Rhinolophus ferrumequinum: one gene and its partners. The protein of the gene in region 1 purifies or fractionates together with the protein of each later gene. This does not show direct contact. Links are inferred from orthologs where the notes say so. Each region holds a gene or a part of one and is shown in the gene's direction. Other genes may lie near its edges. The genes, in order: SMAD7, RNF111, WWP1 and ACVR1B.

Region 1 (8,594 bases):
TATTTGATTGTGAATTAGATGCATTTTTCATTCACTTATGTTCTTGTTCTTCTAAGATAAGCCAAGAGGTGCCGATTGTCACATCGGCCTTACTCATGCCCATCTTCCTTTCATGAATCGTCGCTTCTATTTGTGTGGCTGCCAGTTCAGGAGGGCTTAGGTGTCATTCACACATTTTTCAGGGGATGGTTGTGCAAGAAATGTTGATATTTTCCAACACTATTTTGGCCTCTTCAGTTGTTTCTGCAAGGAAAAATCCTTATCCCTGCCTCACCCCTGCCCTGGGCCCTACCAATACACACCTATATGCACCTCTCTGCCCTTCTCTTCCAGGAACCACTGAAATCGAGAAAAGCACTGAAAGGAAAAATCCTGTCTTCCCTGGACAGGAGTGATTTTTTTTTTTTTTTTTTTTGGCTTTTGCTTAGGGTTGCTTGTAAGTATGGAGAGTTTTGTAAATTCTCTTGTTCGCTTTCCTCTTTCTCTCTCAAGTCAGTCTCCCCCTGGCCGTTGTGTAGGGTTCACCTGCTTCTCCTCTACCTCCTGTGCACTCTGGGGCCCTGACTGCTCAAGACCCGGGGCTTGGAGTAATTTCCCTCTGGCTTCCTTTCTCCTCTAGATGCTTAGCCAGCGGTCAGTCAAGTGGCAGCCCCTGCAGTCCTCAGGGGCTGTGATCACTGCCAAGGGCCAGTGATTAAGTAGCCAGGTCTTGAGCTGACTCCATCCTGGTTTGTCATAACTCTGCTGCAAGTTATTTTGGTCTCCATGACTTGTGGCTGCACCATGATTACGGTTTGATATCTATCACCAAAGTGACTAAAAGATGAAAATAGAAGCCACAACAGGAAATAAACAACTGCAAATGAGATATTTTATTCCATATTCCCTGCCAGCAAATGATTAGAATCAAACTCATTCACAATAGTTTGGTGAACTCCTAAACTTTTTCTTTTTTTTCTAAAGGATCAGAATATTTTGAAATGGGGTGCTTGTTAGTCTCATTTGGACCTGTGGAAAGGAAAGGAACTCCCTTTCTAGGCACACCAGCCAGCCAGGAGTTCCTCTACAGCCCAGCTTCTTTCTTGGAAAGGAATAAGAATGTGACGGGGTGGGGCCGGCTCTCAGGAAGGCTTGGGATATTAACTGATTCAGGGAATGCCAGGGAGCTAATAAAGCAGCACCAACCATTGTAGCTACTTGCCCATCATCCACTTAGGGCAGTAAAATGGAGGAGGAAAGCTGTGTAGAGAGGGCAAGATAGGGGTGACGCCTGAATTAAAACACCCACAATTACACTGTATGGGAACATATCTCTGCAAGTGTATGCATGTTCCACCCAGACAAGCTGTGACGTCAGATTCAACTCCTGAAACACCCATTAAACCTACCTGCCCTGTGTATGCTCTGGCCTCTCATCACAGGGTGTCAGCACCATTGGCCAGATTTCCAAGTCTTTAGGTTCTCCATTTAGCCAAGAAGGCTTACTTCAAATGATGACATTTGCTTTCTCTGTTTATTTAAGTCCTTCCTGTCACTTTGCAGCCTGGCCTAGCCTCTCTTAAAAATCAAAGATCTTCCTTCCACAACTAGATTGAAGGACAACGACTTGGAGCTGATGGGCCCTGAAGAAACACATTGTCCCCCAATATAATTTTTTTTTTTTTTTTTAAAGTTAAGATCTTCTAGTGAGGCCTGGAGCACAGAGAGGGAATGGGACCCTGAGAGGGCAGGAAACTTGTCCAGAAAGCTTTTTAAACCCTGCCAAGTGCTCTCCTAATGTGAGGATCAACACTCATGCAAGCTATTTAACCAGTGAGTCGCAGAGCCCTAGACAGGATTCAGATTTTCTGACTTCTAGTCTGACTTGTAAGCTTTTCTAAAATTATACATTTTCCAGACACCTCAAAAATCCCATTTCTGTGTCTTCCATCTTTCCCTGCCTATGCTGATGGGATCACCCACAACCAAATCTCCCCATCCTCCATTTTCTCTTGGGCTTTCTGGGCTGCTATCTTTACAGGTTGCCTCTTTAGAAAGTTACACACACACACACACACACACACACACACACGAAGTTTCAATGCCCTTTTCAATAAACATTTTTTTTTAAATTTATTGGGGTGAATAAACATTTTTATTTGTAACAAAATTATGATTTTATACAATTGCAGCCTATATGGCCTTACAAAATAATGTTGAAAGCGCCAACTTCTTCCCTGTCCTTCAACACATTTCTGCACTGTTTGGCATCTTTTAGGTCAATGAGCTTCAGGACCCCCTTGCCTGGAGATGGTCATGTAACCATTGTTCCTGATTTTCTCTCATTTATTTCTCCAAAGGTGCTTTTGGTGGGCTTGAGGTGAGCGGTCCAAATGCCCCTTTAAGTTCCATTCAACTCTGTTGATTCCTAAATATTTATTGAGCATCTACTGCATGTCAGACACCTTTAAGTTGCTGGAAGAGACGGGGCTGAGCTATAAAGCTAAGATTCATCTGTCTTTTCCTTTTAAGAACGTATAATTTAGCTAGGAAAATTAAAATAGTGCATTTCACCTTTTCTAAAGATTCATTAAATTCCCCCAATGAGTTTCATTGTCCTCCCGATCGCAAAATTCTAAATGACTTTTTTTAAAAAATCTTATTTCACTGAATAAGATGTGAGTTTAGATCACCATGCCAACTAGTGTCCTCATCAATACTGATGCCTATACGTTTAAATTTACATTTCTCGGTACCATCTGCTTTCACTAAGTAAACGCTTCTTCTTGTCCTTTGCCTTACCAATGCTTAACCCATTTCCCTGCAGTTATCTGCCAGCGGGTCTATGCTTCTCTCAAACCTGGGGTCAGGGGATAAACTCTCTGACCTAAGCACCTTGAAAGACACGGGGCCGATCTGGGCGCGGAAACAGGCCCGGTATGCATATGCATATGCTAGGCAGGTTTACTCCAAAGGTAACCTTCCCCGGCCGAGAGGCGGGGTGGCTGAGGTCTTCCGGGCTCCAGAGGAAACCTGCCGGCGGCGGGCGGGCGACCCCCGCCTCCTCCCGCCAGGATGCTGCCCCTTGCAGCTCGTCAGCCGGCCAAATGCATTCCAGAGCAGCGCACAAGACACACTTCTCCAGGCAGTCCTAGAAACCCGAGCCCGGAGCGGGAGAGGGCGGGAGGGAGCGCGCGGCCGCCGCTGAGGTCACATTCGCGCCGCCTTCCAGCCCTCAGCAGCCCGGCTGTTCCCTCCAGTGCACACCTCCCAGGGCCTCCGTCCAGTCCGGTGTAAATGTCTTTCAAATCGAGACAGCGCTGTCCTTCCCGTTCCCTCCCGCGCGGCCAAGGGATCCGCCGCCAAGGCCTTTAAAACAAAACGAATGAATGGAAGCGCTAGGGTGAGCGCGTGGGACAGCCACCGCGAAGCTCCACCAGCTGGGTCTAAATCGGGCCACCGACCGGCTTGTTCCGCTCCAAAACTCGCCGGCGATGCCCGCTGGGTGCTCTCGGGGCTTCCCATTTCCCCTCTGATCCGGCCAGTTCTCAGCCGATTCTGGGAGCTTTTTTGCTCCCCACCTTTATTCGCCCCCCCCACCTATAGTCCCCCCTCCCTGCAGACTTGGGAGGGGGTGGCGAGGGCAAGGGGTGGGGGGAAGAAATAGCTTTTAGAAACCCGATCTGTTGTTTGCGAAACACAATCGCTTTTTTTTTTTTAAAGCGACAGGGTGTCTAGACGGCCACGTGACGAGGCCGGAGCCGGGCGCGCCACTGCGCAGTGGAACCAGCAGAGCAGAGGGCCCGCGGGGGGGGGGGAGGGAGGAGGAGGAGGCGGCGGCGGCGGCTGGGGGCGGGGGAGGGAAGGGGAGGAAGGGGGAGGGAAGGGGGCGGGGGCGGGAGGCCTTGCGGGAGGCGACGAGCCCGGGGCACACTCGCTCGCTCTCTCGGCTCACGGAGGAGCCGTCCTCGAGCCGCGCCAGCCGAGCCAGCCGGGCGCCGTGCTCGGTCCGCTCGCCGAGCGGGAGAGAGCTGCGGGAGACAGAGCCAGCCTGCCGGCGCCGAGCTGCCGAGAGCTCGGCCCCGGAGCCCCTGAGTGCTGCGCGGCGAGCCCCCGGAGGCGGCCGAAGGACCCGAGCGCCAGGAGAGGGCGGACGGGGGACAAGGAAGCTCCCGGGCGCGACGAGGAGAGTCTCGGAGGCGGAGGCGGCGTGAGGACACCAGGGCCTCCTGCCGCCGCAGCGGGGTCGGGGCGAGTAGCCCATACGGGGAGCCCCGGCAGCCAGCCGCGGCCAGGGGAGGGGGCGCCGGCGGCCCCCGCACTAGCTAGCAGCTTGCGCCCAAGAGGGCGAGAGCGCGCGACCCGCTTGGGGCCCGCTGCCGCCGCGCCGCCCTCCCCCGCGCTGTCAGCCCTGCCGGGCGCAGCCGCCGCAGCATCTTCTGCCCCTGCGCCCCCGCCAGCCCCGAGGAAGTCCCCGCCGAGGACCGGAGCCCTAGGGAGCGCAGGAGGAAAGACCAGAGACTCCCCTAAAACACCCAGATGCGGAGACTTGAAGCAGCCTAGCCAAAGCTTTCTGTGGATTAAAAATATATACGATTTTCTTTTTTGGGGGGGGCAGAAGAAAAGGAGAGGAAGATCAGCGGGGATCTGCAAGGAATAAAGGGGGATGTAACTCGTGGATACGTTTTTTCCACCCTTCAAACGTCTTGTTCTACTTTGTAAACATTTTTTTTTAAACCCCAGCTTCTACCGGACGGCCCCCGACCTCCAGGGTGTGAGGAGGTGGTGGTTTTCATTTTTGGGCTTTGCATATTTGGTTCTTAAATTTTGAGAGAGCCTCCTTATTTCGCCAGACATCTCATGCGGGTTGAAGTCCACTCGGCCCCCTCCCCCGAGTCTTCTTGTGCACGGAATTCGAGATCTGGTTACTAAGGATATAGAGGAAAAAAATAAATCGCGTGCCTCCCTTTTTTTTTAATTGCTTGCTTCTCCCCACCCCCAAATTAAGTTGCTTAGCAAGGGGGAAAGAGGGTTTTTCCTCCTTCCAGCCCAGCCGAACGCCTTTCGTTTTTGCCCCCGCGGATCTTCCATGTAGGAAGCTGAGGCTGGCGAGCCCGACACTTGGAAGCCGCTGCGGGGGGGCCTCTTTTTTGGGAGGCGCCGGCCCGGGCAGGCTTCGTCGCCCCCAGGGAAGCGGCAGCCGCGTTCCTCCGGGGTGCGCCGGGGCCCGAGAGCCGCGCACGGCGCGGGCGGCGCGGGGTGGGGCAGCCGGAGCGCAGGCCCCCGAGCTCCGGCGGGCGCCTCCGGGCCCCCGTGCGCGCCCCGGCCTCCGGGAGACTGGCGCATGCCACGGAGCGCCCCTCGGGCCGCCGCCGCTCCTGCCCGGGCCCCTGCTGCTGCTGTTGTCGCCTGCGCCTGCTGCCCCAACTCGGCGCCCGACTTCTTCATGGTGTGCGGAGGTCATGTTCGCTCCTTAGCCGGCAAACGACTTTTCTCCTCGCCTCCTCGCCCCGCATGTTCAGGACCAAACGATCTGCGCTCGTCCGGCGTCTCTGGAGGAGCCGTGCGCCCGGCGGCGAGGACGAGGAGGAGGGCGCGGGGGGAGGCGGAGGAGGAGGCGGCGAGCTGCGGGGAGAAGGGGCGACAGACGGCAGGGCGCATGGGGTCGGTGGCGGCGGCGCAGGCAGGGCTGGCTGCTGCCTGGGCAAAGCGGTCCGAGGTGCCAAAGGTCACCACCATCCCCATCCCCCAGCCGCGGGCACCGGCGCGGCCGGGGGCGCCGAGGCAGATCTGAAGGCGCTCACGCATTCGGTGCTCAAGAAACTGAAGGAACGGCAGCTGGAGCTGCTGCTCCAGGCCGTGGAGTCCCGCGGCGGTACGCGCACCGCGTGCCTCTTGCTGCCCGGCCGCCTGGACTGCAGACTGGGCCTGGGGGCGCCCGCCGGCTCGCAGCCCGCCCAGCCGCCCGCGTCCTACTCGCTCCCCCTCCTGCTGTGCAAAGTGTTCAGGTGGCCGGATCTCAGGCATTCCTCGGAAGTCAAGAGGCTGTGTTGCTGTGAATCTTACGGGAAGATCAACCCCGAGCTGGTGTGCTGCAACCCCCATCACCTTAGCCGACTCTGCGAACTAGGTAAGAAGTTGTTCTGCGCCCACCCTCCCCTCCCCCTGGCGCTCAAAGTGGGGGAAGAAAAGCCCCGTGGGCTGTGTGTTTGTGCAGCCACCTCTCCGGAGGGGAGTGTACAGTCTTTCCTGGGAGGAGACTTGGGGACTAAAGTAGAGAAGGAACACGGGGAAACTGGAAGGGCATTCCCTGGGGGTTCCCTTCCATTTTTTTCTCTTCTGTTGCCTGGAGGGGGGCTATAAGCAATGTTCATGCACGTTCTGCAGACACGCGGTTAAAAATTAGACGCCCTCATTTCCGGATCAGCTAGGGGGTGCACAGAGAAGTAGGGGTCACGCCTCCCCCGAACCCGGAAAGGCGTTGAGGTGTGTGGCCGAGTTGGATTCGCTCCAGGCCCGCCAAGGAAGGCTGGGAGAAGCGAGTTGTAAAGGCTGGGAAGTCTCTGCTCCTTTAGTAAATAAGGAGAGTCACGTAGGGCACAAGTGGCCCGGATACTGCCCTGGCTGCGCAGCTTTGGGGATTTGGGTTAGGTTAGGATGGGAGGATGAACTGGGTATCTAGTCTGAACTCTGTAAAGAACAAGGAGTCGGGAAGTTGGATGTCCCCTACTTTTCCTTTCCTCTAGCACAGGAAAGCACAGAAGTGACCTTAGGGTGGTCTGCCTGCAGCGCCTCCGTGACGGTGCTGCCCCTAACTGCGCTGGGGCCTGGACTGAGACCCCAGTCTCCTTCTCTGTGTCTATCCAGCCTCTTCCATGGCTTCTCTTTTCTCTACGTCTGTGTGCGGTGCGGGTGTGTGTGTGTGTGTGTGTGTGTGTGCGCGCGCGCGCGCGCGCGCCTGCACCCGGGATGCCCAGAGATCCTCCCAAGTTACCAGCGCATTTTGGGGCGCGTCTCCCGGGTGGGCTGGGAAAGCGGAGCGCTGCATTCCCCGCGCGGGTGCAGACCCGAGCCGCGGGGAGCGGAGATGAATTGCGCCCCTGGGGGGCGGGCCGCGGCGGCGGGTGGGGGGAGGCGGAGGACGGTGGATGCGGAGTCCCAAGTTCGGGGACGGGGAGGGGGGGCTCTGTCGACCCCGGCTTTGGAAACGGTGAAGTGCGCGGCCTGGCTGAGTCGCGGCCGAGCGGGTAGTTTCCTGCCGGGCAGACTGTGCGCGGCGGCGGCGGCCGCAGACGTGGAGGAGCGGAGCGCCGAGGCTGGCGCCAGGCGGCCTCTTTTGTTTATCTGACAGCTAAATATCAAGGCAATCACCGCCTCGCGGCCCTGCCTCCAACCCCCACAGCTAAGACAAACAGTTGGGCTAAAAGAATGCCTCTGTTATCATAAGTTTCTATCTCTCTTTCTCATGGCTCGGCCTTTATTTTTTCTTACTTTTTTAATTCCAGAGTCTCCCCCTCCTCCTTACTCCAGATACCCGATGGATTTTCTCAAACCAACTGGTGAGTAGATAATTTTAAAAATATCCTTCCTCTCTTAAGTTAGAAACGGAGCCTCTAGAACGCGGATTTTTTTTTGTCCCAGGCAGCGGCTTCTTGGGGAGGCGCTGGGTTTTCGCGGAGGTGATTATAGGTTTCCTCTGTTAGAAGTTTGGTAGATTTTTCTGTTCTTGTGGCTGGAGATTATATTATATACGTTTTTCCCCCCTCAAAAACGTTATCTAGATATATTTTACAATTTGTTCCTTTTTCATATATTTGCACGCCATGACCGAAGTTGGCTCAGATTTAACACATGGAATTTGACCCACACAGAAGTGTCTGGGGAACCAAATAAGATAGGTTGATGGGAAAATTCGGAGACTTTGTGAGTGCCAGAGGAGTCAGTGGGAAGAGTGGATAATTTCAGGGAAGGGAAGGCAGTTTTTAAAGGTGCAGAGAAGACTTTGGCTTGGAGTAAGAGGTTAGAAAATTTAAGAAGTAAAGGCAATACCTCTGCCCTGGTGTCCCCTGCAAGTCAGCACTCCTCCCGTGTTTTCTCAGAATTCTTGGTAGGTGCTATGAAAGTTTTTAGCATAGCTCTGCCTGCCTGTTGCTTTGTCACCGGATGGCACAGGGCCAGGGCAAAAGCTCATTTGAGACTGGCACCAATCCTCTTGCGGTTGTCTGCATTCAACTGGCTGGCAGTGCAGGGGCTCGCCCTATGGAGCTGGTGGGGGTGGGGGGTGGAGGAGCAGCAAAACTGGGACGTGGGGGTAACAACAGGGATGGATGGCTCCTGTGTCCTGGAGCCCCTTCTTACAGTGGGAGATTCATTAGCTGAAAAGTAGGGATTGTAACTTTGATACTGTGTGCCTTGTATGCTGGTGCCTGAAAAATGCAATGTTTGTGACTTTCTTTTGCCAAGCTTCTGGGAGAAGTGAAGGGTTGGGCCTCCTTTTGCTCTCGGAATTCTACAGGTCCTTCTGCCTCATGAGTTTTGGCTGTTGGGCTTTCCCCCCCACTAATTAAAAGTTCTGCTGGGGTGTTGTCATAAATTAAATACTTTAATGAACAGTG
Region 2 (7,568 bases), on another chromosome or scaffold:
AAGAAATTATTGTATGTAATTCAGGTGAGAGAGATCTCCCACCCCAATAATCTACCATTATTCCCCTAAATACAACCTCATTTCACCTGTTTTCTCAGTCTCACGCCTTTTCTGCTCTGGGCTTCCCGCCTTTGATTTGTTGCCCATCTAATAACCGCCCTGCCGTCATGTTAGTGACTATTCTGATTTTTAAAATCTCTCTCTTCTAATTACTCTCCACCCCGCCATTTCAAAAACCTGTTATCTTAGCAGATGGCCTTACCTCACATTTCACAGAGAAATCAAGGTCATTCAATGAGCCAAGTCCTCAATGTTCCCCCTGAAGCTAACACACTTAATTCATTTGTACAATCACTTCCTCCTCCTCCTCACCTGTTTCAATGAAAGGACTCTCCTTTCTTCTATCCAAGGCTAGTTCTTCCATCTGAGCTTTGAATCCCATTTCCTGTGCCTCCATGGAGCATCCCTTTATTTTCATTATCTTTCATCTCTCTTTCTATGCTGACGTGTTTCCCTTCATTTCTATCCTTCTAGATATGTGTCCTATCTTTTTCCATTTACTACCAATTTCATGAAAAGTACTGGTCATTGTCTAACTACACTGCTCAGTCCTTTCTAAACCAGGGTTTCTCAACTTAATATTGGCATTTTGGACCAGATCAATCTTTGTTGTGAGGGGCTGTTCTGTGCATTGCAGGATGTTTAGCAGCATCCCTGACCTATATTCACTAGATGCTAGTAGCGTCTTTCCAAAATATCTGTGGACATTGTTAAATAACCCCTGTGGGTCAAAATCACCCCAGCTGAAATCCCGTTCTAAAATATAGGACAGTTGCTGAAGCTGCTCTTGTTTACAGATATCCTTATTGCCAAATTAATGGACAGTTCATATTGTCGATAACACACTTTGATACTGAAACTCTTTTTCTTACTTGGCCTATTTCCTACTTCTCTTGGTTTTTCTCCCTTTGCTCTGGCCTATCCATATACTTCTGGAACTTCTTTTCATTCTTCGACTCTTAAAATATCAGACTTCCCCAGATATCTGTCTCTTCTCACTTATACTCTGGGTGACTTCATTCAAAAATTTCGATTCAGCTATCACATAGAAGTTAGAGTCCAAATCTCTGTCTTCAGTCCAGACCTCTTTTTTGAGCTCCAGACCCATATATCCAATAGCTTACTGGAATCTTTACTTTGAGTAAATATTAGATACCTCAAACTCAACTTGCCCAATAAAGGAGTAGTTGTTTTCTTTCTCTGAACCTTTTTCCTCATGCTGACCCCAACCAAAAGTCCCAAACCCAAAAAGTTGGGTTTTGCAAGCCTGTGTTTCTTTATTAAATGGCACTACCACCCCATATATCCAATTAGTTATTAAGTCTTCTTATCTCTTGAATCTGTGCCTTTTCATTCTCATTTCCACCACCCTCCTCACTTTTACCTGCCATTCCAACTGGTCTTCACTCCTTTACTCTTGCTCCTCTCCAATCCACCCTCTATTTGGTTTATAAATGGGATCTCTAATAGTCAAATCTATTATTGCTCTGATTGATTTCCTTTAATGGCTCCCAGTATTTTAAGTATAAAATTGTTCTAATACCTTATCCTAGCAAACACAATCTTACTTAAGTTAGTCCATTTCTATCTACTTTTTTTTCTCGCAACTCTTGATAATTTCCCCAAGATACATTCAGTAGCTCCTAGTAGAGAATTTGCTTCATGCTGTTTCAGGTACAGGATTCTGTACCTTAGCATGTGCTGATCTTTCTGCCTCGAATGCCCTTTAGTTGTTTTATTTAACTATTTTTATTAATGTTGCAAAATTTAGTTTAAACATCACTGTAGTTTAAATATCCTGCTGGTTTGACTACTGTGTTCTACCTTTGTATTCTCAGAGCACTATTACACCATCCTATCCCTTCCACATGACAGTGTAAATAATAGATTTGCTTTCTGGGTCTCATAAAACACTGCAAGTAAGGCAGTGATTATTTATTTAGTACTCACAGTGCCCAGCACAATGTCTAGCACATTCTAAGTACTTGATAAATGTTTGTTAAACAGAATACTAAAGACCTAGACTAGTGCAGAGTATGGAGAGGAATGGGTTGATTTTTGATATTTGAGATATTTGAGAGGCACACATGGAAGGACTTATATAATAGATTGATTAGAGGTAGAGAGTGAGGAAGAGGGAGTAATCAAAGATGACCTTGGGGTTTCTAGTTAGATAACTTGGTCCTGTTGACTGAGGCAAGAAAGGCTGAGATGGATCTGGTGTAAATACAATATACCTCCATTTATTTATTTGTTTGTTTATTTATTTATTATTTTTGACATGATGTGTTAGAGATGCTTGTGGGAGATTAAAGTGGAAATGACATATATAACAAACAGCCATATGGGTTTAGATCAGTCTGTGCTGTCCAATAGATATATAATGTGAGCTACAAATGTAATTTCTAGTAGCCATTTTTTAAAAAGTGAAAGAAACAGGTAAAATTAATTTTAATAGTATATTTTATTTAACCCTGGGGTTTCTCAACTGTGCTATTAACATTTTGGGCCAGGTGATTCTTTGTTGTGGCGAGCTCTCCTGTGCATTGTAGGATGTTTAGCAGCATCCCTGGGCCTCTTGTTAGTAGATGCCAGTAGCTACCCCCCCCCCCCTAAGTTGTGAAAACCAAAATGTCTCCAGATATTGCTGAATGTCCTGGGGGGAGAGGCAAAATCATCCAGGCTTGGAACCACTGATTTAACCCAATATATCCAAAATATTATTTCAACACGTAATCAACATTAACAATTATTGAGATTTTTACAATGTTTATATTGTATCTTTAAAATTGAATATATATGGTTTTCACTTACAGCATTTCTCAATTTGTACCAGCTACATTTCACATGCTCAACAACTATATGTGGCTAGAACCTACTTTATTGAGGAGAACAGCTTTAGAAAAGCTGGCAAGAGCTTTAGAAAAAATGTTAGGTCTGGAAATATAGGAACAGTAGGTCTGGAAATGTACAACTCTGAGAAGTTAAGAGTCGATAACAGTTAAAACCATGGCAGTAGATGAGAAGTCCAGACAGAATTTTACATTTAGAGTGAGAAAAGAGGAGGATTGAGGAAAATTCCTAGTACAGTGCTCTTCTAGTTTCCGCACACAATCTGCTATCCTTTCTTCTTATTATTTTAAAATATTTTCTTCACTGAACAAAATTGAGAACATGAGTGAACAAAAAAGGTATTGAGAAAAAGTTTATGACAAAAGGAATTAATACTTATTAAACACTTAATTGGTAAATAATGTCTGAAGCATTATATAGAATGTATTTTATCTCACAAAAAAAACCCTTTGAGGTAAATATTATCTCAATTTATAGAGGAGGAAATTGAGAATTTTTTGTTTTACATATGCTTTTTCTAAATTGAGGTGTATTTGACTTTTTTTTTTTGTGGAAATAGATTTATAAAAGACTAATACATCAGACAGCTAATTGGTATCCCTGGGATTTGAAAGGAAGTCTGATTCCAAAGCCTACATCCTCCTAATGCACATAATGAAACTTTTGCTGTCCACTGATTTTCATGAAATAAGGAGGCGTGTATGATTGCACAGACAGTTCTCAGGATATCTATGACCACTTTTTATCTGATTCTGGAAGCAGATTCATCTTAACAGTTAGGTGCCATGATCTTTGTCATCAGCGAGTATGATTTGGGTATCATTTGTCATTAAACACTAAACCATGATGTTTTTGTTTAATTGTACCGTAAATATGGTCAATAATTCTGTAGTTAGTTGTAATTTTTAGTTACGAAAAAATTAGCTAAGACTTATGTAGTCAGTGTTTTGCTTAAATACCGAACGCACAATCACCAGGGAAAATAAAATACTGTTACAAGCTTCAGGACACCATTCAGCTTCACGAACAGACCGATAAAGCGAGTACAAAGGGGGAGGGCCGGGAAGGAAGGGGCGGGGCAGTGAGAAACAAGAATCTGAGCAAGCGCAGAAACAAACATGTTAATAGAGGCGTGAAGGCTACAGCGCTCTCACTTTCCGAATTGTCGTAAAGCCTCGGAGTGTCGTGCTTGCTTGGTAGAGGAGGGATTGGTAAGGCGGCGGCGGCGACGGTAGCGGCAGAACAGCAGTAGTGGCGGCGACGGTGGCGAGGTTTTCTGTCTGTGCAGCAAAGAAACGCCCGCAGCTTCGGGGAAGGAGTTCCTGTGGGACCAAGTTAGGCATCTGAACCCAAGCCGGGTGAGCTGGGCCGAACCAGGCGCTGCAGCTCGTACAGTTTTGGTGGCGGTGACAGACGCTGCTCTTTACTATAGGGGCCTATTAGGCCGAGATCTGAAGCGCAGATCATTGGCTCTCGACACATCCTTTTCCGCCCTTATATCTCCTGTCTGCCTTCCTGGGCCAGTGATTCCAGGACCCTGGGAAGAGAGGGTGGCTAATGATTAAGGTGAGGGGGCCAGGGGGGAGGGGATCGATTGGAGGCCGCGCGTGCGCGCAACGGGGGAGGGGCCGGCCTGGAGGGGAGAAAGAGGAAGGGCTGCGGCCGCGGAAGGCTGGGGTCGGCGACCGGCCGGTGATTGCTGGCTGCGTAATGACTTAGGGTCTGGGTCTCCGCAGAAGATCTAATTGTGTTTGAGCGAAGCATTCGTCTACAGACACACCCACACCCCACACAGTAAGGGAATGTGGGTAAGGGGATTTCTTTTTCGACTCTACCTAGAGTCTTAGGATGGGGGCTGAGGACCGAGGCGTGGGTGTGCGATTTGACAATGGAGTGATGAAGGTAACCCGCACCCGGGGTGTTGGAGGGCGCTAAGTCAGCCTTCACGGTTGGGGAATTGCCTTCTTATGTGATCAAGGGAACGTCCCCGGAACAGCAGAAATACAGACGCGTTAGATTTTCTATAGAGTTGGCTTGGTCATTAAAAAAAAAAGCTTGATATTCTTATTCTCCTTAGATAATTTATCAATCAGTGACAATGCTGTAGTGGAAATAGCTGTTCTATACGGCAGAAATAGAGGGTTTTCACAATAGTTGTTAAGTAGGTTATAATAGATCTTTACAGATACTTCTTAACGCAAGTCTAAGTTTTAACGTTTAAAAAATACCAGGAAGTATAGGGTATTCATTTAATTTGTTCATGTTTGTAGTGTGGAATGACTCCATTCATTGTATTGTATGCTTTCCTGTTTCTTGATTTATGTGCAGTATGAATTTAGGACTCTGGAGTGGTAAGATGCCAGCTAACAGACTTTATAGTTCTTACACCTATTGAACCTAACTTAATCCAAACTTTATTTCATTTGTTATTTTATGTTTAATTTTCTTGTTTTAGGGACATCTTCAACTAAAAAGAACAGACGGGAAAAGCTAAAGTTCCATTTCCTTTCCCACTTTTGTTGTGTCATTGCTTTCAAATGTTACAATGTAATTTAAATAATACACAGAAGTTCTATAATAATGGTTTTACTTAGCTTTATAAGGGTGAAGATCTGCATTTTGATAGTTTGTTACTCTATGTATTTCAGTAAAAATTTTCATGTCATAAATAAACCATGTTTCTCATTCTAAACAGTCCTTGGTTGTGAGACAAAACAGGATGAGAAAGAAGCCCTTTACTCTAAAAAGAATCTTAAAAAAAATTTTTTTTTAAAGCCTTGTATTATTTTACATTCGTCTGTCTCTCTTGTCATTTAACTTAGGACAAATGACATCTCTCTTGCTCATTTGTTTGCTGCCTAAGATACAGAGTAGTATTCTAAGAACTAGTGAGCGTGTTTATGAATCGGTCTGAACAATATTGTATGAAAAACTAGAAAGAGTCTCTCCTTGTTCATCAGGGGTGCTCTATCTTATATGTGTGGATTCTTCCGTCACTTTTTTCCTTTTGTTTGGTGTCTGTTGGTCACTTGCATGTTAGTTCTGTCACCGGAATTGGTTTTTGAAGAAGGATATAATCTCATTTTGGTGAAAAATACATTATACTTGACAAATTTTACTTCAGTACTTTATTTCTACAGATAATTGAAAAATAGCTATAGTGATGTTTTAAAATACAAGAATGGCAGTTTACGACATGTCTAAAACAAAGGTATAGTCAGCAGATATTCCTAAATAGTCATTTTTACTTTACAATGTGGAATAAAAATCTCACTGAATCAAATTAGATTTTTTTAGATGTTTCTTTTATTATCAAAGAAGAGTTTCTGTAACATGGTTTATTTAGAGCATAATTATATGTGTTTCTGTTTTGACTTTTATTCCAGTGGGCTAGGATTTCAAAGGAGGGGGATGACAATACTAAAAATGGTAGTAATTAAAGTATGTTATAACTTGACATTAATATTCTATTGGTGACATGTTATGAAAGAGTATAGGGCTAGAGACAGGACATCGGGATTTTAGATCTAGCTTTGCTTGCTAGTCATTAGATCTGTAACTATTGATAACCATCCTGGGCTTCAGATCTTTCTCAACTTTTAAATGAGAAGTGTCGGCTAGATAGCCAGTTGTCCCTAGGTCTTAAATTTAATGATTTGTATTTTTAGTTAGGTGTTTCTGGTGTTTATTGTTGTATTCATCGTGATCCAATCTCCAGAAAGAAATGCTATACTGAGAGTATAAATTCCTTCATGATACATACTGTACATTAGGAAAAGAAAACTATGGTGAAGCCATGTTTGTTGTTCCAGGTAATGGTTCTGTCCCATTGTAGATATTAGTCATGATTTAATAGCTCTTATATGATACTAAAAAATGAAACTTTATTTTACTCTTGATAATGCTCTTTAAATCATCCCGAATAACTTTTCTTTCAGAAACCTATGATCACTGTTCAGTAAAAGTCCAGAATTACATTTGAATGCCACGCACCTCTGTCCTTTCTTTCCTGTATCTCAGATTCTTGCAAATAGCTGGCCCAGGTTTCTGCAAGTACTCTAAACCATTACATGAGGAGTGAGCTACAAATGTTTAAAAACAAATATTACTGAGCTTACGTTTTTAATAGAGGTACTGCATTATCATTTAGTCATTTGGTAAGTATTTATTGAATGTCTCATGTTCTTGGCATTGTTCTTGGTCTTCGGTGAAGAAGGCACTCTGCACTTAGTGGAGTGAACACTAGCTGGGGGAAACGGATAATAAACAGAATAGTTTTAGGTAGTGGTTAGTGCCTTGAGAAAATAGGACTATGTAATGGAGAATGAATGGAAGTGGAGCTTTACTATGGATTGAGTGGTTAGAGAGGGCCTCTTTTTTAGAGGAAATATTTGATTTGCGATCAATGACTAGAAAGAATCAGCCATAGTGACAATCTGGAGGAAGAGTGCTGCAGACAAAGAGAACAGCAAATGCATTAAATTGGGTTTGATTCTGGAGAATCTACAAGTGAAAATTGTTTGGTTTGTCTGTTAAACCTTTTCATAATTGCTGATAGACAATGTAAAAAGAAAGGTGAACTGTATTTTACGTGTAGCAGTCAGATGTACTGTGTTGACCTTGTTTAAATCCTTACTCAAATCAATTGTAAAACG
Region 3 (8,118 bases), on another chromosome or scaffold:
TTAAACTAAAGTGATATTTTATTATGTTTATTAATAATATAAATTATTTTGTGACATCATCTTACTTTAGTCTTGGCACAATATTTAGTGATATAAATTTTATGTGCTTGAGTTCTAAGTTCAATTGATTCAATACTTAATTTTAAAGGCTATCATACATGAAAAAGACACTTCAAAAATATGTCAATACAAGAGGACAAAGTATATCATTGTCTTTAGATATTAACATATAGTACTCATTTTTCATTCCCAGTTACGCCAAACTTTTTGTTGAAATTCAGATAGGAAATTCATTTCACCTCAATGTCACTTTGATGTAGGCACTGGGTTAAAAAAAAATAACAGAAGGATTCAAAACTCTTCATTTGCAAGATGTTTAGATAGGATAGAAAATTCTATTTCAAATCCTACTTCTTTACTTCTATGTGACACCATGGTAATCTTAACACCATTGTCAATCTTATTACATGTAAGTAATGAAAAAAATTAATTCATATGTTGGACCCACAAAATGGATGCTGCCCCAAAAAGATTAGATTATTTAATGGAAAAGTGAAATTATCAAACAAGTCGAAAAAAATAAGGCAGGTAAATGACATGATCTCAGGATAGGAGAGGACTTGTGAAACAAAATATAATAGAAGAAAACAAAAATGGAAAAGACCAATACTTTTATCTACATTATATATAAATTGCCTTTTTGCGAATATTCCAGTAAGAAAACGAACAACGAACCAACAAGAGGATTCCATATTTCCCATATAAAAATATACCATGATGACTTTGAGGAGTGAAGATAGGGAGTATACACAATGGAGTCACTTTAACCAAGCTGCTGAAATTATTACCATTATGAAGGCTGAGACCTGAGGAGACCATTCTTGTTCTAACTCGCCTGGAAACTTTAACTCCTTTGAGCTTTCCAGTCCTGCGTCAGTGCCTGAATAGACATGTGGATTTCCAGGCAGCCCTGTAATTACCCCCCGGGGACTCATATGTCCAGGCCACCTGATGACCCCCTAAAGGACTCATGTATTCATCCCCATGACATCTGTTATCCAAACCACTGATCTGACCATACCTAGTACCCATTCTTGGGACCACCCGGCATCCACCATCCTGCCTGTCATCTGATTGATAATTGTCCTGGACCAATCTTAGGGCTAAGGAAGCAAGACTGATAATTCTAAAAAATGTACTTTTGGCTAAAAATTTTTAACTTTTCTTTCTTCTTTGAAACACTTCTAGGTTTTCATCGAACTGTGTTTCCGGTTTGCAAACTCCAAGACCCTTGAATAAATATCATTTATTTCTAGCAAAGCCTCCAGACTCTTTTTGAGTTTGTTCAATAAATTTGGTATAGTAAAGGACAATTATACACTCTCACATAGTATTATGGGAATTTGATAACAATATCGCAATAGTAATTTATTGATTATGTGCCATGTAATGCTAGGTATTTTATTTGTAGTAACTCATTTACTTTTTACAAAAACATCATATGGTAGCCTTATACCGGTTTTCTGGTTGAGGCACAGTCAACTTAAGGAATTTGGCTGAATCTCACAGCTCATAGGTGGCTACAGGGTTGACTTATCCAATTGTCACAGCACAGTACCTCAGGCTCACCGTACTTTTGTGTGTGTTCCATGCTATTGAATTGGCTCTGACTCCTGGAGACCCTGTAAATGAGTTATGTCCACAGTGTCCTGTCCTCACAGGCCTGCTCAGCTCCTGGAGACTCAGCCTGTGACTTCCTTTACGGAGTCAGTCCATCTCCTATTTGGTCCTCTTTTTCTGCTGCCTTCTATTTAACACAGCATTATTGTCTTTTGCAAGGAACCCTGCCTTCTCATGATGGGCCCAAAGTAGGACAGCTTCAGTTTTGTCATATCTGCCTCCAGTGATGTTTCAGGCTTAGTTTTCTTTAGGACCCACTTGTTCATCTTTCTGGAGGTCCAGGGTATCCGTAAAGTTCACCTTCAACACCATATCTCAAATGAATTATTATTTGTTTCCTAACAGGCTTCTTCACTGTCCAACGTTCACATCTGTACATAATAATTGGGAAGATGAGGGTGTGGATGCTCTTAGCCTTCGTCTCTAATGATACATCTTTGCTCTTGATGATCTTTCCTAATTCTTCCATTGCTCCCTATCAAGTCTCAGCTTTCATGTAATTTTTTTGGCTGCAGGCTTCATTTGAATTGATGACTGAATCGACTGAAACAAAATCTTTAACAATTTTTATGTTGTCATTGTCTATGTTAAAGTTGTGTACTTCTTCTGTAGTCATGATTTTTGTCTTCTTGATGTTCAAATGTGGTGCTGATTTGGCACTTTCTTCTTTGACTTTCATCAGAAATTATTTCAACTCATTGTGACTATACTTTCAGGGGCCCACAAAAAATGTTTTAATTTCTTTTAAAATCAGAAGAAAAACAACTGAATGTTCAGGTTGAAGAAAACGTTTTAATGTATGCAATCAGTAAGTTCACGTTTATGTCAATGCAGTTATAATTTTTAATATTATTTTATGGAGGAAGAGACCCACAAAGATAAAAGCATGTAGGACCCATGAAAGTCTGAATGTGGACCTGTGTGGCAGAGCTGCATTTTGATCCCACGCAATAGGGACATCTAAGCCTAAGTACTTTCTGGAAGGTAACTTGCCGATGTTTCAAAAGGGCTAAAACTGTTCATTCATTTGATTACTTTTTAATGATTTAAACAGACAGTAAGTAAGGACATGGACAATGATTTATGAAAATATATTTATTTGTAATAGTGTTCATTTGAAACCAAAGAATATATAACAATAAAAGGATGTCAACTTAGGGACCTAGGTGAATACTAGGAGCTTCTGAATGGAGCTGAACTGAGGGGGAAACTGAGGACTCAAAAGTGCTGGAAGTGAGATTGACTCAAGCAGGACGCAGAAGGAGGCCTGTATGTATTCTGGACATGGACTGCAGACTTCTGCTGGGCGTGTGTATGTAATGTCTGAGAGTATACTTGTATAATAAGTGTGTTCTTGAATTTATTTTTAAGGGAACTGGACAGGTGAAGAAAAGGTTAGAATAAATAGTACTCGGTAAAGCAGAGAACAGTGAGCACAGTCAGGGAACTCTGAAGCGTTTTCATAACAGGAGAGACCAAGTATTTGAACATAGAAGACTTGAAAATGTTAATCTTTGTTTTGAAAGCCCCAAAGAGCCAATAAAAGATTTGAAGCCTTGGAGTGACATGCTCAGATGGGTAGTTTAGAATAATCATTGTATATATATTGTGCCTCGCATGTAGGTATGACATAGGAGGGTGGGAATGATGCATTGGAGTGGAAAATAATATATATTCATTCAAACAAGAGATATTTACCGACTCTTACAAATATTCACGGAGTGTCGATGCTGTTCCTAGTACATGATTCTTTTAAAAGCTTAGTTATGACAGAAGAGAGAGAACTAGAAGGAGGTTTTAAAGTCAAAGGATAATTTAAGACAGAAAAGACTTAAAACGTAATTCTGCTGAGGAATTGTTGCCAATAGCAAAGGCGGGAAACCTTGCTATGACAAGGACAGGGTCACAGGAAAGAGCAAACAGTGAAGAGGTTCACATTGGAGAGGTTTCAACTTGGGCGTAGCTATAGGTAATTTGTTGCGGCTGGGTGAGGCAGTTGGGCAAAAATTGTAGAAATCCATGCTCCGTAGCCTTTATTATGTCTCTGAAGTTACAAAGAAGCTCCTGGTACTGTATTTTGACCAAGGGGACTGAGGCCTGCCCCACCCAATTGGAGCTACACAGCTATATCCTCATTTGTATCTTTACTGACCAATCAGTGGTTACATAACAACCAATCAGATCACATCATTCTGCCCAATCAGGACAGTGCAATTTGGACCAATCAAACGGTGCAAATTGGGATTCCTCATTTGCATAGAAATAGACCAATCAGGCACCAATGGGGAACTTCCTCCATATAAGCAGGTTTCCCTTTGTCTCTGGTGTGTGATCTATGGGTTTCCTCCTGAGGCTTCCTCCCTGGTGTGCAAACTGTTTACCTGAATAAAGTTTCTCCTTTCTTGGCATCCCATATGGGGAACTCCTATTGCCATAGGCTTGGCGGCAGCGACCTTTTGTTGACAAGGTCATCTGGTGAGTAATGGGGTCACCACTGACTTCCATTTGCAGTGGGACCTTTTTCTCTAAACGCAACATGAGGAACCAACAGCATCTCTGCAAACGAGCGAGCCATTTGTATAAATGGGGATGACAGACTCTTCTTTATGGGACTGCTCTGTGGGTTAGTTACAATGACACACGTACTTGATCAGTGTTACTTTTATCATTGTACTCATGGTGGGGTAAGGGGAACAAAAGTTTGGTGACTAATAATGGCCTGGAAAGTCTTTGGCTGAATGCAATTATTTACTCTTGCAATGGTTTCCTGAAGCGCCCAGCTAGTTCAAGGACTATTTATAAACAGCCTAGCTTTGTTGTAAAGCGTTCCACACTGGAACGCTGGTGCCCCGAGGTCCTCACTTGAGGTGACGCGCCATCCCGCCCCAGCCCGAAAGTCACGTCAGCAGCATGCACCTCCAGCCTTGAGTAGCTTCCCCCCAGTCTCCGCCCCTCCGCTGCTCAGGCCCCACCCTCCGCTCCTCGGGCCCCGCCCCCCTCTCCCATTGGCTGGCGCTCCCTGTCCCCCGACCGCCCCGAAGACCCGGAGCAGCGGACTTTCCCACAGGCGTCGCCGGGCTCGCTGGCTGCGCATGCTCGGGGAAGCCCGATCCGGTCCAGAGTCGGCGGCAGGGCGGCCGCGGTGCAGCGCGGGTCGGCCGGCGGGGAGGCGCGCTCCCGAGGAGGGAGGTGTGGGTCGGCGGGGGCGGCGCGCGGCAGGGGTGGGTGGGGGGAGGGCCGGGTGTCCGCGAGCTGATCCGAGTGGCTGCGGGCGGCCTGGGCTGCGGGGCCGCGCCTGCGGCGAGATGGCGGTCCTGGGCGCCGAGGGCTGAGGCGCCGCCGCGGGGGACGCGCCGCTGCGAGGCCGCGGGGAGTCGGTGAGGACCGCGGGGCGCGGGCTGAGGGCGGGGGGCGCGGGGCCGGGCACCGATCGCCGGGCGGGACCCTCGGAGGCTGCCCGCCCGCCGGGCCGGACTTGTCTGGGGCGGGGTCGCGAGTCCGCCCGAGTCGCCCTGGCCCAGGCCCGAGCGAATGATACCCGAGCGGCGCGAAGTGTTTCCGTGACTGCAGCCGCGGCTGTCCAGCCTCCTCAGCTTGTCGTCCCCCTTTCCCTGACACCGCTCCGAAAACACCAGTGTGGACTTCCCGCCGGTGCCCCGACTCGCGCCTCAGCCCGTCCCGGGCGCAGGGCTCCCGCCTTGGGACGCCTCTTCCCGGCTGTTTGGGTCACTCCCGGGTCCTCGCGGACTGCAGCGCCCCAACGCAACCCCACCTCCACCTCGGTGACCCGGTCGGTCCCAGTGACCTTGCAGTTTTCACTGGTCCTTATCTCATCGGTGACTGGGACCTTTTCCTGGCGTCCTTTTATGCACAAACATGAATTTCGTAGTTTGCCCCTTGCGTGGAAAGGCTCGGGCTTGTGCCCTGCACGGTCCTTTCTTCACTCCATCGATTTGGAGTGCAGCCTCCTTCGCTCCCGTAATTATAGGAAACCTTCAACCAGAGCAGAGCAGTACCTATTCTTGTGACCTTTTTACTCTTCCAAGTAAAATCATTTCCAGGGGCCTGACGTGGCTTTCTTTTTCTATTTGGTAAGTCTTGTATCTTTCTGTGTAGCCTCATGTTCAAAAAGATTTGAGTGTCTGCTTTGATGTGCTGTTGGCAGGAGTGGTGGAAAAGAATAATGTCCAGAGTTATCTTTCGGGCCCTTTGGTGTTTTTACGTGAAATACCTGGTGAGCAGTTGTATGCGGGTTTCGGCAAGAGGTCACACGGCGCGTGTACATCCACTTGATCTGTCTCACTAGGTCTCTGGGTGTATTATACAAACAAAATGCACCTTTTTAGAAAAGAAAGGCATTCTTTTATTTATGTGACTTGTTTGTTAGCTATAAAGGACTAAATTAACTCTGACTGGAAATGATGACTTTTCATAAATAGTTAATATTTTTTAAATTGAAACTTAGTGGCCGAGCGTTGGGAGGTACTCAGGTTGAGAAGTGTAAAAAGTATGTGGAGGAGGTCTTTCAGATGTAGTTGACTGACATTTTCACACAGTTTTTCTTTGCAACACGTAGGCTTTGGAAAGCTGAAAGGAAGGGTTATGTTTTTTGGAGGCCATGCCCGTTAGAGAATGTCACAGATAAAGTCTCTGCTTTTAAAGAGATAGAAATCTTTGTTGTTTACCCCACCAAGTCTGAAATTTCTTTTACTCCTTTGCAGTTATTGAACACCTACTACCATACGTGCGATTGTGCGGTATTTTGGGGAATATAAAGATGAGGATGATAACAGTTTCTGCCTTCACAGACAAGTTGGGCAGATGGGACTATACACAAATGCCTCATTTGTCCTTTAACAGATAGTTAAGCTACATCCAGAATCCAAATTCAGAAGGGGTAGAGCTCACAACCCGTTTGGCAAGGTGGGGTTAGGGAGGTTAGTTGTAGAGCTTCTGGCTTCCGAAATCTTTGTTTTAAGGATGACTAAGACCCTTGCTAGGCAGGGAAAGGTGTAATCCAGGCAGAGAAGGGACAGCACAGACGTCATACATTTGGGGAGAGGCAAGTAATTATGCTGGGATGGAACATAAAGTATTTGTACCAGTAACAAGGAGGATAAAGCTAGAAGTAGAAAGTGGGCCAGTTTATTATTGCGTTTAATGCCTGGCTAATGACCTTGGATTTAGTACGTGGTGGGGGTTTTACAGATGATTTTTGAGTTAGCAATGTAACGATTACAAGCTTTGTTTTCAGAGGATCAATCTGGCAACATTGTGTTGTGTGAATTGAATAGAGAGAACCTGGGGGTAGAAAGACCTCTGGATTGCTGTGGTCATAGGTAGCGGTGTCTGCGCTGTGGCCGGTAAGAATAGGACTGGAAAGGAGGAAGGAAGTGGATTAGACAGAACTGCTGATGAAAGAGAAAATGAAGAAAGTGAAAATAACTATGATTCTGATCCAGGTTGGTTGGGAGAATATAGTGATACCATTTTGAGCAACCTCTATGGAAGCTTCGTCTTCGGCACGTGACTGTCACTTTGCAGCAGTACTTGTCAGTCATTTGGGGATTAGTAATCCTTGATGAAATTAAAGTAATCTGCTGGCCCAGAAAATTTCCATATGCACCTGTGTTTTGTGGTTGTAAATTTAGAGGTTGTCCGTGGACCACCTGAAGCTCATCCATGGAACCCTTGGTCCAGTGGGTGGGCTTGGAAGCAGCTCTCAGAATTACTGGGGGCCTTTTAAAACAATAGAAGCTTCAGATTCTTCCACTACTGATAAGAACCCCTATTGTAGAGACATACTGTAGATACACCTAGAGACAGTATCTCCTTACACTTGTATTGTGGTTTGCAGTGAATTTTGACTTATTTGCTGTTATATTACAGAGCAAACTAGCCCAAGAGGTTAAGTGTTTGCCCTGAGTATTTCAATCATGAGTGGGTAAAGTGGAATCAGGAGTTGATTGACAGTGATGGTTGCTTTCTTGTATGAAGATGTTTTATATGCAACTGATTTACCATCATTGGATATTGTTACTGCCTTTACGTGACCTCATCAGTGGGGTCTAGATGATCCTTGGGAGGTTCCTTCCAGTTCTTAACATTTTGTGATTTGGGGTCTTAGGTTTTCCTTGGACTATCTGTACCTTGTTTTCCATGTGCGGGGGAGAGCTGGTGAGGCTGAGGAATGAACTGGGCATATAGAGAGTGACATCAGACCAATCATTTACTTATTCCTTTGGATGGGCGGGGGGAAGTGAAGCAAGTGAAATAAAAAACTGTCAGAACTTGTATCTTCTCTATTGAGGTATGCCCTACTGAAGAATACGCCTCCATTCAGAAAGCCTTTATCAAGTAAAAATGGAAGCTACAAAGAAAAGGAAATGCTGGAACCTAGTCAGTGAATTTTTTTCCTTGGATTAAGTAGCTAACTCT
Region 4 (7,618 bases), on another chromosome or scaffold:
CCCCACTCAGATTATCCTGGAATCATTTGGCGCCGTCCCATTTCCTCTTCACTTCCAATCAATCTTGTAGTTTCTATCTCTTTAAAATCTGTTGAATCTATTTCTCTTTCCCGTCTCCATTGCTGCTGCCTACGGTCTTGTCTGGGCCACTAGAATTGCCTCCTCTTTGGTTTCTTTACCACCAGTCTTGCCTTCCTCCAACCATCTGCACTAAGTTCAAGTTCATTTGGTTCAGCAAAGCGGTCTTTCTAAAACACAAATATGATCAATTTACCCCCTTGCTTACATCCCTTCTAAGTACACTGGAGAAAAGTACACTTCTATGTGCAGTTCCATGTCTATTTCTCCAACACTACCTTTCAACTCTATCACCAGTTCCCTTCACTCTGCACTCCCTGGGGGTACTGCCTTGCTGCTCTTGGTTTCCCTAAATGCCAGGCAATTTCACCTCAGCATCTTGCTCACACTGCTCCCTCTGCCAGCAACAATCTCCTGCCTTCCCTTGCCCCAGACAAGCCTGTCTATCTAGGGGACATTCTTTGCTCTTCCAACAGTCAGCTGTAGTATGGCCTGTTCGTGAGATCTTTCCCAGCTCCTCGGCTTGTCTCTGCAGAGTTGAATCATCCATGTCCTAAGTGCCCCCATGGACCCTCTACAGGTGTACACTATAGCAACACATTGTTGCTTTTTAAAATGCTTGTCTCTAGTAGATTGTAAGTTACATGAGGGCAAGGATCATGACTTACCTGTTTATATGTTGTGCTGGGTATGGTGTAGGTGTTTAACAAGTGTTTGTAGAATGGATGACGGAATATGAGCTGCTGCCTTCGTGGGATTAATGACCCTGCTGCTTGCTCACCAAGACAAACTGTGCTGGATCCCCTAGGAGGTGGGGTGTCTTGATGCACTGCAACCAAGATGGCAGCTGTACCACCAGGTGGTCTAGTCAGTGGAGCCTGGGGAGTAAGACTTTTTCCTGGAAAAGTGAGTCCTGGCAGCTCCGGGGAATCTCATGACAAAGGGACAGAACAGGGCTGACTAGAAGTTCATAGATTGTGATGTGGGTCCAGCCCTAAGATTAAAGGGACTTACAGAAATGGACACTTTGCTGAGGCCTTCAGGGATGGTAAGAGAGCCAGGCTGCACCAAGGAGCACAGGTAGATTGGACACTTTGTCCCCATGCAGCTTGGGACCTAAAAGGCAAGGTAGATGCACCACCTAGGAAAGCTCTGACTTGAGCAGATACCCCAAACTCTCAGGAATAAGATGTGAAGAATATAACAAACCTCCCTCTCCCACCCCATCAAGTCGAATTTCCCACCTTCAGCTGGCTCCTGAAGACCAGTCTCTGAACAAGCACGAGATGCTGCGATGTTGAAGAAGCACAGAACAGGTAGGCTGTGGCTTTAACACTTAATTATATGGGAGCCTGGGCAAGTCGCTTACCTTCCCTAGGTCTCAGTTGCCTCGCCCATAACTGTGCACACCCTGACATGCCTCAACCACTTCATAGGATTGTAGTGAAGGTCAAATCACCATCATAAGAATAGCAATTCTTTTTATATCACTTCCTGTGTGTCAGAGACTATGCTAGGTGCTTTACATACAATATCTTTATCCATCCTCACAGCCTATGAGATAGAACTATTATGATGAACTCCATTTTATACATGAGTGAATTGAGTTTTAGGGAGGTGAAATATCTTGCTAAAGTCAAATGCTAGCAAGTGGGCTGATGGAGGTGGCATTTGGTCTGTGGACCCAGCATTCTGGTTCCCTGGGCTGTATATTCAGGTACGCGGCTGACCTTGCAGTTTAGGAGGAAAGCTACTACAGGTGTCCTCTGGGATTCTTGGTCCTGCAGCCACAGTGGCAGCCCTTAGCAAGTTTAGGGAAGAACAGTCCCTTCCCCATGGCCTCAGAGTCATGCTCCTGAGGGGTCAGCTTTCTCTTCCCAACCACAGGGGTTGGTGAATAGACTGTTGAATAGCGTCCCCCCAAAATTCATGTCCACCCAGAACATGTGAATGTGATCTCATTTGGAAATAGGATCTTTACATATGTAGTCAAGCTATAATTACTTCAACTTGGGTGGCTGGTTAGCTCAGTTGGTTAGAGAGCAGTGCTCCTAACACCCAGGTCACCAGTTCGATTCCCACATGGGGCCGTGAGCTGCACCCTCTACAACTAGATTGAAAACAATGACTTGACTTGGAGCTGAGCTGCGCCTTCCACAACTAGATTGAATAAAAACAACGGCTTGACTTGGAGCTGAGGGTCCTGGAAAAACACACTGTTCCCCAATAAAAATTAAAAAAAAAATTACTTGAACTTGGGCCCTTATCCAATGACTAGTGTCTTTATAAGTAGAGAAAAATTTGTACAGAGATACAGACACAGAGGGAAGACGACCATGTAAAGACGGAGGCACAGATTGAAGTTATGCTTCCACAAGCCAAGGAACACCAAGGATTCTGGGAACCACCAGAAACTAGAAGAGACACGGAAGGATTCTTCCCTAGATCCTTTGGAGAGAACATGGGCCTGCTGACACCCTGGTTTCAGGTTTCTAGCCTCCAGCACTGTGAGAGAATACATTTCTGTTATTTTAAGCCAGCCAGTCTGTGGTGTTACAGCAGCTCTAGGACACTAACACCGTCACCTAGCACTGGGCCCACCACAGCTGGGAGCCCTAAGGGTGGGGTAGGGCAAAGTTTGGGAGATGAGTTAAATGGACTAGACAGAGGAGGTGCCCATGTGGGGGGCAGTGAGGGAGAACAGTATAAAAATAAGGTGTTTACTCATCCAGCTACACTGACCCACTTGTAGATAGTGCCTTTGCGCGACTTTGTACATGTGTCGGGGGGAGAAAGAGTTGTGTTTGGGGAGTGTGTCTGCAGTCTTGTGTATTTTCTGCTGAGGATGGGTGTTCTTCAATTGGTGACAGCTTACAAGTTGAGAACTCCATTTGAGAAACTCCTCCTACCACCCTGTTGTCATCATCATCTCCACCCCTACATCTTAGACAATGAAATTAGGCTTAAAGAGGTTAAAAACTTGCCCAAGTTTTCACAGCCAGTTAGTAAGAAAAGGAGAATTCAGATCCAGAACTGTGGCTCCAAAAACCTGACCCTTTTCACTATCTCAAGCTAAAGAAAGTGAACTCTTTTTCAGAAAGATATGGTGATTCAGCTTACTTTTCATAAGCATTTTTTTCTAAATTTGAAAGTAACACTTGTTTATTTATAAAATATTTAGGAAACACTGAAATGTTTAAAGAAAAAGTAAAAAATTATTCTGGCAATAGCTACTGATAATACTGGATAATTTCCTTCCGTTCTTTTTTGCATAAAGGTAGATATTATCAATAAAATTAGGCAAATATTGTAAACAGTTCTGTATTTTGCTTTTTCTTCTTAATTTTTATTACAGTTATCAGGGTGACATTCGTTAGTAAAATTATATAGGTTTCAAGTGTACATTTCTATAATACATCATCTATATATCACATTGTGTGCTCACCAGTGAGAGTCAGTTTTCCTACCATCACCATGTATTTGACCCCGTTTTCCCTCTTCCACCACCCCCTTCCATTTTGCTTTTATGTTTAACATGCTCTCATTTATCATTATCATTCAACATTTTCTCATGTCATTAGTTTTTATAAAAATAATTTTTAATTACTAAATACTACTCCATCATATGAATGGGCCGTAATTTGTCTTGTTATTGTCTACTTAAGTTTCTAGCTTTTTACAACGATACACATGCAACAGTTAACACTTTTAGTAAATATTTGTCCTCATCTCTATTATTTCTTGAAGACAGATAGGGGATAATACCAGGTATGAATATTTTAGGGCATTTGATACATAATGCCAAGTTGTTTATCAAAAGGGTTCTACCTGCCAGCAGGATAGAAGTGCCTCATAAGCACCCTTACCGAGACTAAGTACTATCATTAAAAAGCCTTGCTATGTTCTGGAAAGGGGCATCCCATGATTGATCACACAGGTTGCTGAGCGTCCAGAGGATTGCAGGGGGAAAATCAGTTAGCAGACGGTTGCGAGGATCCCGGTGGGACGTGAAAGGGCTCGGGGCTAAGCAGGAGGGGTGAAGGGAACGGAAAAATGCACGGGACTCGTAGAACATTCGATGCGGGGGAGGGGGTCGGTGCTGATAAGATAACCTGCGCTGGGTGGGGTGCAGAGGAGGGCCGAGGCTGCGCGTTCTGCTCCGCCTCCTCCGCGTCGCGCTCACACCCACCGGTGAAGGGGGTCGAGGGGCGCACCCCTCCCACCCCTTTAACAGGGACACTCCCCTTTAAGGCGGGCGCCCGCGCGCACCCGGCCCCGCCCTTCGGGGGCGCGCGCGGCGGCCGCAGCGCCGGCTCCGCCGGGAGCGCACGTGCAGGCGCCGGGCGGAGGAGCGGGAGGCGGGAGCGGGGCCGCGGGAGGAGGGGAGGCGCCGGGGGCGCGCGCGCGCGCGCTGGGCGCTGCTGGGCTGCGGCGGCGGCGGCGGCGGCGGCGGCGGCGGCGGTTACTATGGCGGAGTCGGCCGGAGCCTCCTCCTTCTTCCCCCTCGTCGTCCTGCTGCTCGCGGGCAGCGGCGGGTCCGGGCCCCGGGGGATCCAGGGTGAGTGCCGGGGCGGGGGGCGGGGGCCGGGATGGAGAGGGCCGGGCGAGGGCAAGGCCTCACGCCGCGGCGCCTGGGCTACAGCGCGCCCCCTCCCCACGCGCACAATATGGCCGGGCGGGGGGCGCGGAGGAGTCGGGGTGACCCCCCTGTGGCTTCTCCCGACCCCCCGAGGCTCGGCTGCCCAGCCGCGACCGAGCTCGCGCCGGACCCCTGGGGACCCGACCCTTCTTCCAGATGGAGCTGGATTCGGGGAGCTCTCGGGGGTCGCGCTCCCAGCACCCTCATGTTCCACAGAAGGGAGCGCAGGCTTCCTTCCCCCAAATTTGGAGATCATGTTTCTGCCCCTCCACTTGTCCAGGGGCGGCGGTCTTCATTCCCTACCTCCAGATGCTCCTGGGGGACGCCTTTTCTCCCGCCAAGATTGTGGGGCAGGGGCGATGGGGTCTTAGCTTCTCCGAGGTACCCTGATGTTGAGAATCCTTGGGCATCTCAAGTCAGAGTGGAAGGGGTCTCGAACCTTTCCTTCAGATCCTGCACTTGGGGCGTCTCTTCTCCCTCCTACCTCCCTCATGTTCTGGGGAAGGGAGTCACATTTCCCCTTCGCGCGGTCCCTTGAATTCAGTGGGGCAAACACCCCACCTCCAGTCCACACGCCCCGTGGAAGCTCTTTGGAGGAATAGGGACGAACAGGCCCCTCAGCCGTTTTGGAGCCTGCCTTTGGAGTCTCTCTCACCCTGGGAAACCTAGTTCCAGAACGGGCAATCAGCATCTAGGTGTATTTGCTTTCCATCTTGCCTCCCCCACCGCACCCTAGGGGGCCCATTCAGTTACTCACTTCATGGATGCCTTTGAATCCTAGAAATTCTAGAACCCGCCTTCAACCCCCAAGATTATTTAAAGATCCCACCTCTGGACGGGCTGCCTGGCCCCTGGTCAGTACTTATTTGCCTTCCCACACCATCCCTCTTCCCCACCCTTCTCCCCCCACCAAGTCCTCCCCCCTCCCCCAGCCTCACCTTACATCCCCCACAGCCGGCTCTCCATACCACCAGCCGCCAGCCCACTATGGAGGTGGTTACCTTTCTGTGGGACCCTCAGCTGGGTGTGTTGAAGAGGCTTTGGGGGCCTGAGAAGAGCAGATGAAATCCTAAAATATTTAATTGAAGAGAGTCGTCCCCAGTGTGTTTTGGCATTAGGGTAGCAGATGAAGGTTATATTTGGCGGTTATATTGAAATGATTATTGACCCACAGATGGATCTGGGAGAGACTGTCAGGATTGTATTCGCTCCGATGTACAAAGCCTGCTGCTTTGACTTCTCAGCAGCCCCTAGCCTTCCAGCAATGGGAGATGGAGTGTGTGTTCTGTGGCTCTCTTCGCCACTAAAAATAATGATTCTCAGGTGGGTTCAGGCTTCTTTAATAGACCAGACAATCAAGAAAAGACATTATCCCACTTTGGAGTCTCAAAAACAAGTTCATTATCTCCAGGTTTGATATTTGTTCCCAGTGGGGTAGCCTGTGCAGTGGGGTCTTTGTTCACTGGCTAATGCTTCTGTTAAGCACCTCGTGTGTGTGCCTGGGTTTCGCTGCTCTGTGCCTGGTAATATGCCATGGGTCTGATCAACATGGTGAAGGTGTGTGAACACAGCCTGACGATGGTGGGTAAGATCGTGGTTTTTGTGAATAATATTTGCTGGGCCTTATTGTGGGCCATGTTTTTGGAAAGGGTCATGTAATGTTATTTCTCTAGTGGGGTGGTAAATAAGGAGACTCGGCCTTCAGGTTGTCATTTCATATGAGTATGAATAAATCTTTAAATTCCTTCCATAGGAATTTTTATCTTGTCTCTACTATATCCAAGATTTTTAACAGCCATTTCTCTGTTGATTTAGTGTAGTGTCTGTGGGGCTTTTCTTGTTGTGAGCCTAGTTAAGAATGTTTAATTGATAATCCAGCTGGTTCTGAATAGGGCAGAGTTCATTTTTTTTGTAACCGTCCTAAAATGGATGTTTGTTGGGGTGAGGATGGGTGGTCATAAATAGGGAATTAGTTTCTTTTTTTGGTAAATTGGAAATTAGGTTGTGTGTCCAGCAAACATTCTCGAAGCCTTTAAACTTCTTGGCCAGACACTACAGTTTTTTCCGGGACACATCTAGTTGCCAATAGTGCATGCTACAGAGACCACTGTTGCAAAAGGCTTAAAATAAAACGTCAGTTCTGGGAAAATCGAGGCTGTGGGATAACAAGAAGTTGATTGCTTTCCTCCCCTGCATTTCCTCTGTCATGCTTCCCTAGGTGGGCTGGAGGAGTGGCAGAGCCAGGCAGCTGATGCCTGGTACTTGGACATGACATGAGGGCAGCAAGGGATAGGTGTTTCTATTAATTAGTGAATTAATTTCGACTTAGGAAAAGGCCAGTGATAAGGAGAATGAGTTCCAGGTTTTAAACAGCATCCATTTGATAGATGTATCGTGTTTTTAGGCCTAGCTTTGGAATTTTCACGTTACTATTTAAAAATGTAAAATTGCGTTAGTTAGTAGCAGGAGAGCATGACATTCATTTCTTAAGACAAAAGCAACAAGGGAGACATTTGAGGTTCTGATAGGAACATTTTGAATTTCTGTGAGCAGGCTAAACATCTCATTTCAGGCCAAGTCTTGTAATTTTGTTGAGTGGACATGGATTTGAAGTACAGTGAAAGTGAACTCTTAAAGAGAAAAGGGGAATCTCTGATTAGTTTTATTAAAAGAGCTCCTGGAACAGATATGATTAAAACATAGTAAGATGGTTAAAGGTTACAGCCAGATGGAGGGAGGAGGCTGGTTTTCCGCCCCAGAACTTCGCTCCCTTACAGGTTGTCCTTGAACAAGTCACTTAACCTTTCTGTGACTGCCTCGGTTTTCCCTCTGTAAAGTAAGGAAACAGTCTGTGTCGCTCTGATTGGGACGTTTGTGAGACTGACTTACTGATAGCCAGTT

What was found.
Region 2: the proteins of SMAD7 (region 1) and RNF111 purify together in Homo sapiens (affinity purification with western blotting; 3 studies listed by BioGRID). This does not show direct contact. The link is inferred for Rhinolophus ferrumequinum from reciprocal best matches to the Homo sapiens genes SMAD7 and RNF111.
Region 3: the proteins of SMAD7 (region 1) and WWP1 purify together in Homo sapiens (affinity purification with western blotting; 3 studies listed by BioGRID, with this or other methods). This does not show direct contact. The link is inferred for Rhinolophus ferrumequinum from reciprocal best matches to the Homo sapiens genes SMAD7 and WWP1.
Region 4: the proteins of SMAD7 (region 1) and ACVR1B purify together in Homo sapiens (affinity purification with western blotting; 3 studies listed by BioGRID and IntAct, with this or other methods). This does not show direct contact. The link is inferred for Rhinolophus ferrumequinum from reciprocal best matches to the Homo sapiens genes SMAD7 and ACVR1B.

The regions. Positions count from the first base shown.
Region 1 is NC_046302.1:40,149,650-40,158,243, reverse strand, and holds the start of SMAD7 (mothers against decapentaplegic homolog 7), read left to right. Parts: upstream 1-5,213; 5' UTR 5,214-5,493; coding exon 5,494-6,109; intron 6,110-7,484; coding exon 7,485-7,538; intron 7,539-8,594. UniProt on the Homo sapiens protein: Antagonist of signaling by TGF-beta (transforming growth factor) type 1 receptor superfamily members; has been shown to inhibit TGF-beta (Transforming growth factor) and activin signaling by associating with their receptors thus preventing SMAD2 access.
Region 2 is NC_046289.1:50,671,427-50,678,994, reverse strand, and holds the start of RNF111 (E3 ubiquitin-protein ligase Arkadia), read left to right. Parts: upstream 1-4,096; 5' UTR 4,097-4,271; exon of another isoform or gene 4,272-4,479; intron 4,480-7,568. UniProt on the Homo sapiens protein: E3 ubiquitin-protein ligase. Required for mesoderm patterning during embryonic development. Acts as an enhancer of the transcriptional responses of the SMAD2/SMAD3 effectors, which are activated downstream of BMP.
Region 3 is NC_046297.1:1,988,823-1,996,940, reverse strand, and holds the start of WWP1 (NEDD4-like E3 ubiquitin-protein ligase WWP1), read left to right. Parts: upstream 1-4,920; 5' UTR 4,921-5,057; intron 5,058-5,514; exon of another isoform or gene 5,515-5,771; intron 5,772-8,118. UniProt on the Homo sapiens protein: E3 ubiquitin-protein ligase which accepts ubiquitin from an E2 ubiquitin-conjugating enzyme in the form of a thioester and then directly transfers the ubiquitin to targeted substrates.
Region 4 is NC_046293.1:52,177,134-52,184,751, forward strand, and holds the start of ACVR1B (activin receptor type-1B), read left to right. Parts: upstream 1-4,465; 5' UTR 4,466-4,545; coding exon 4,546-4,636; intron 4,637-7,618. UniProt on the Homo sapiens protein: Transmembrane serine/threonine kinase activin type-1 receptor forming an activin receptor complex with activin receptor type-2 (ACVR2A or ACVR2B).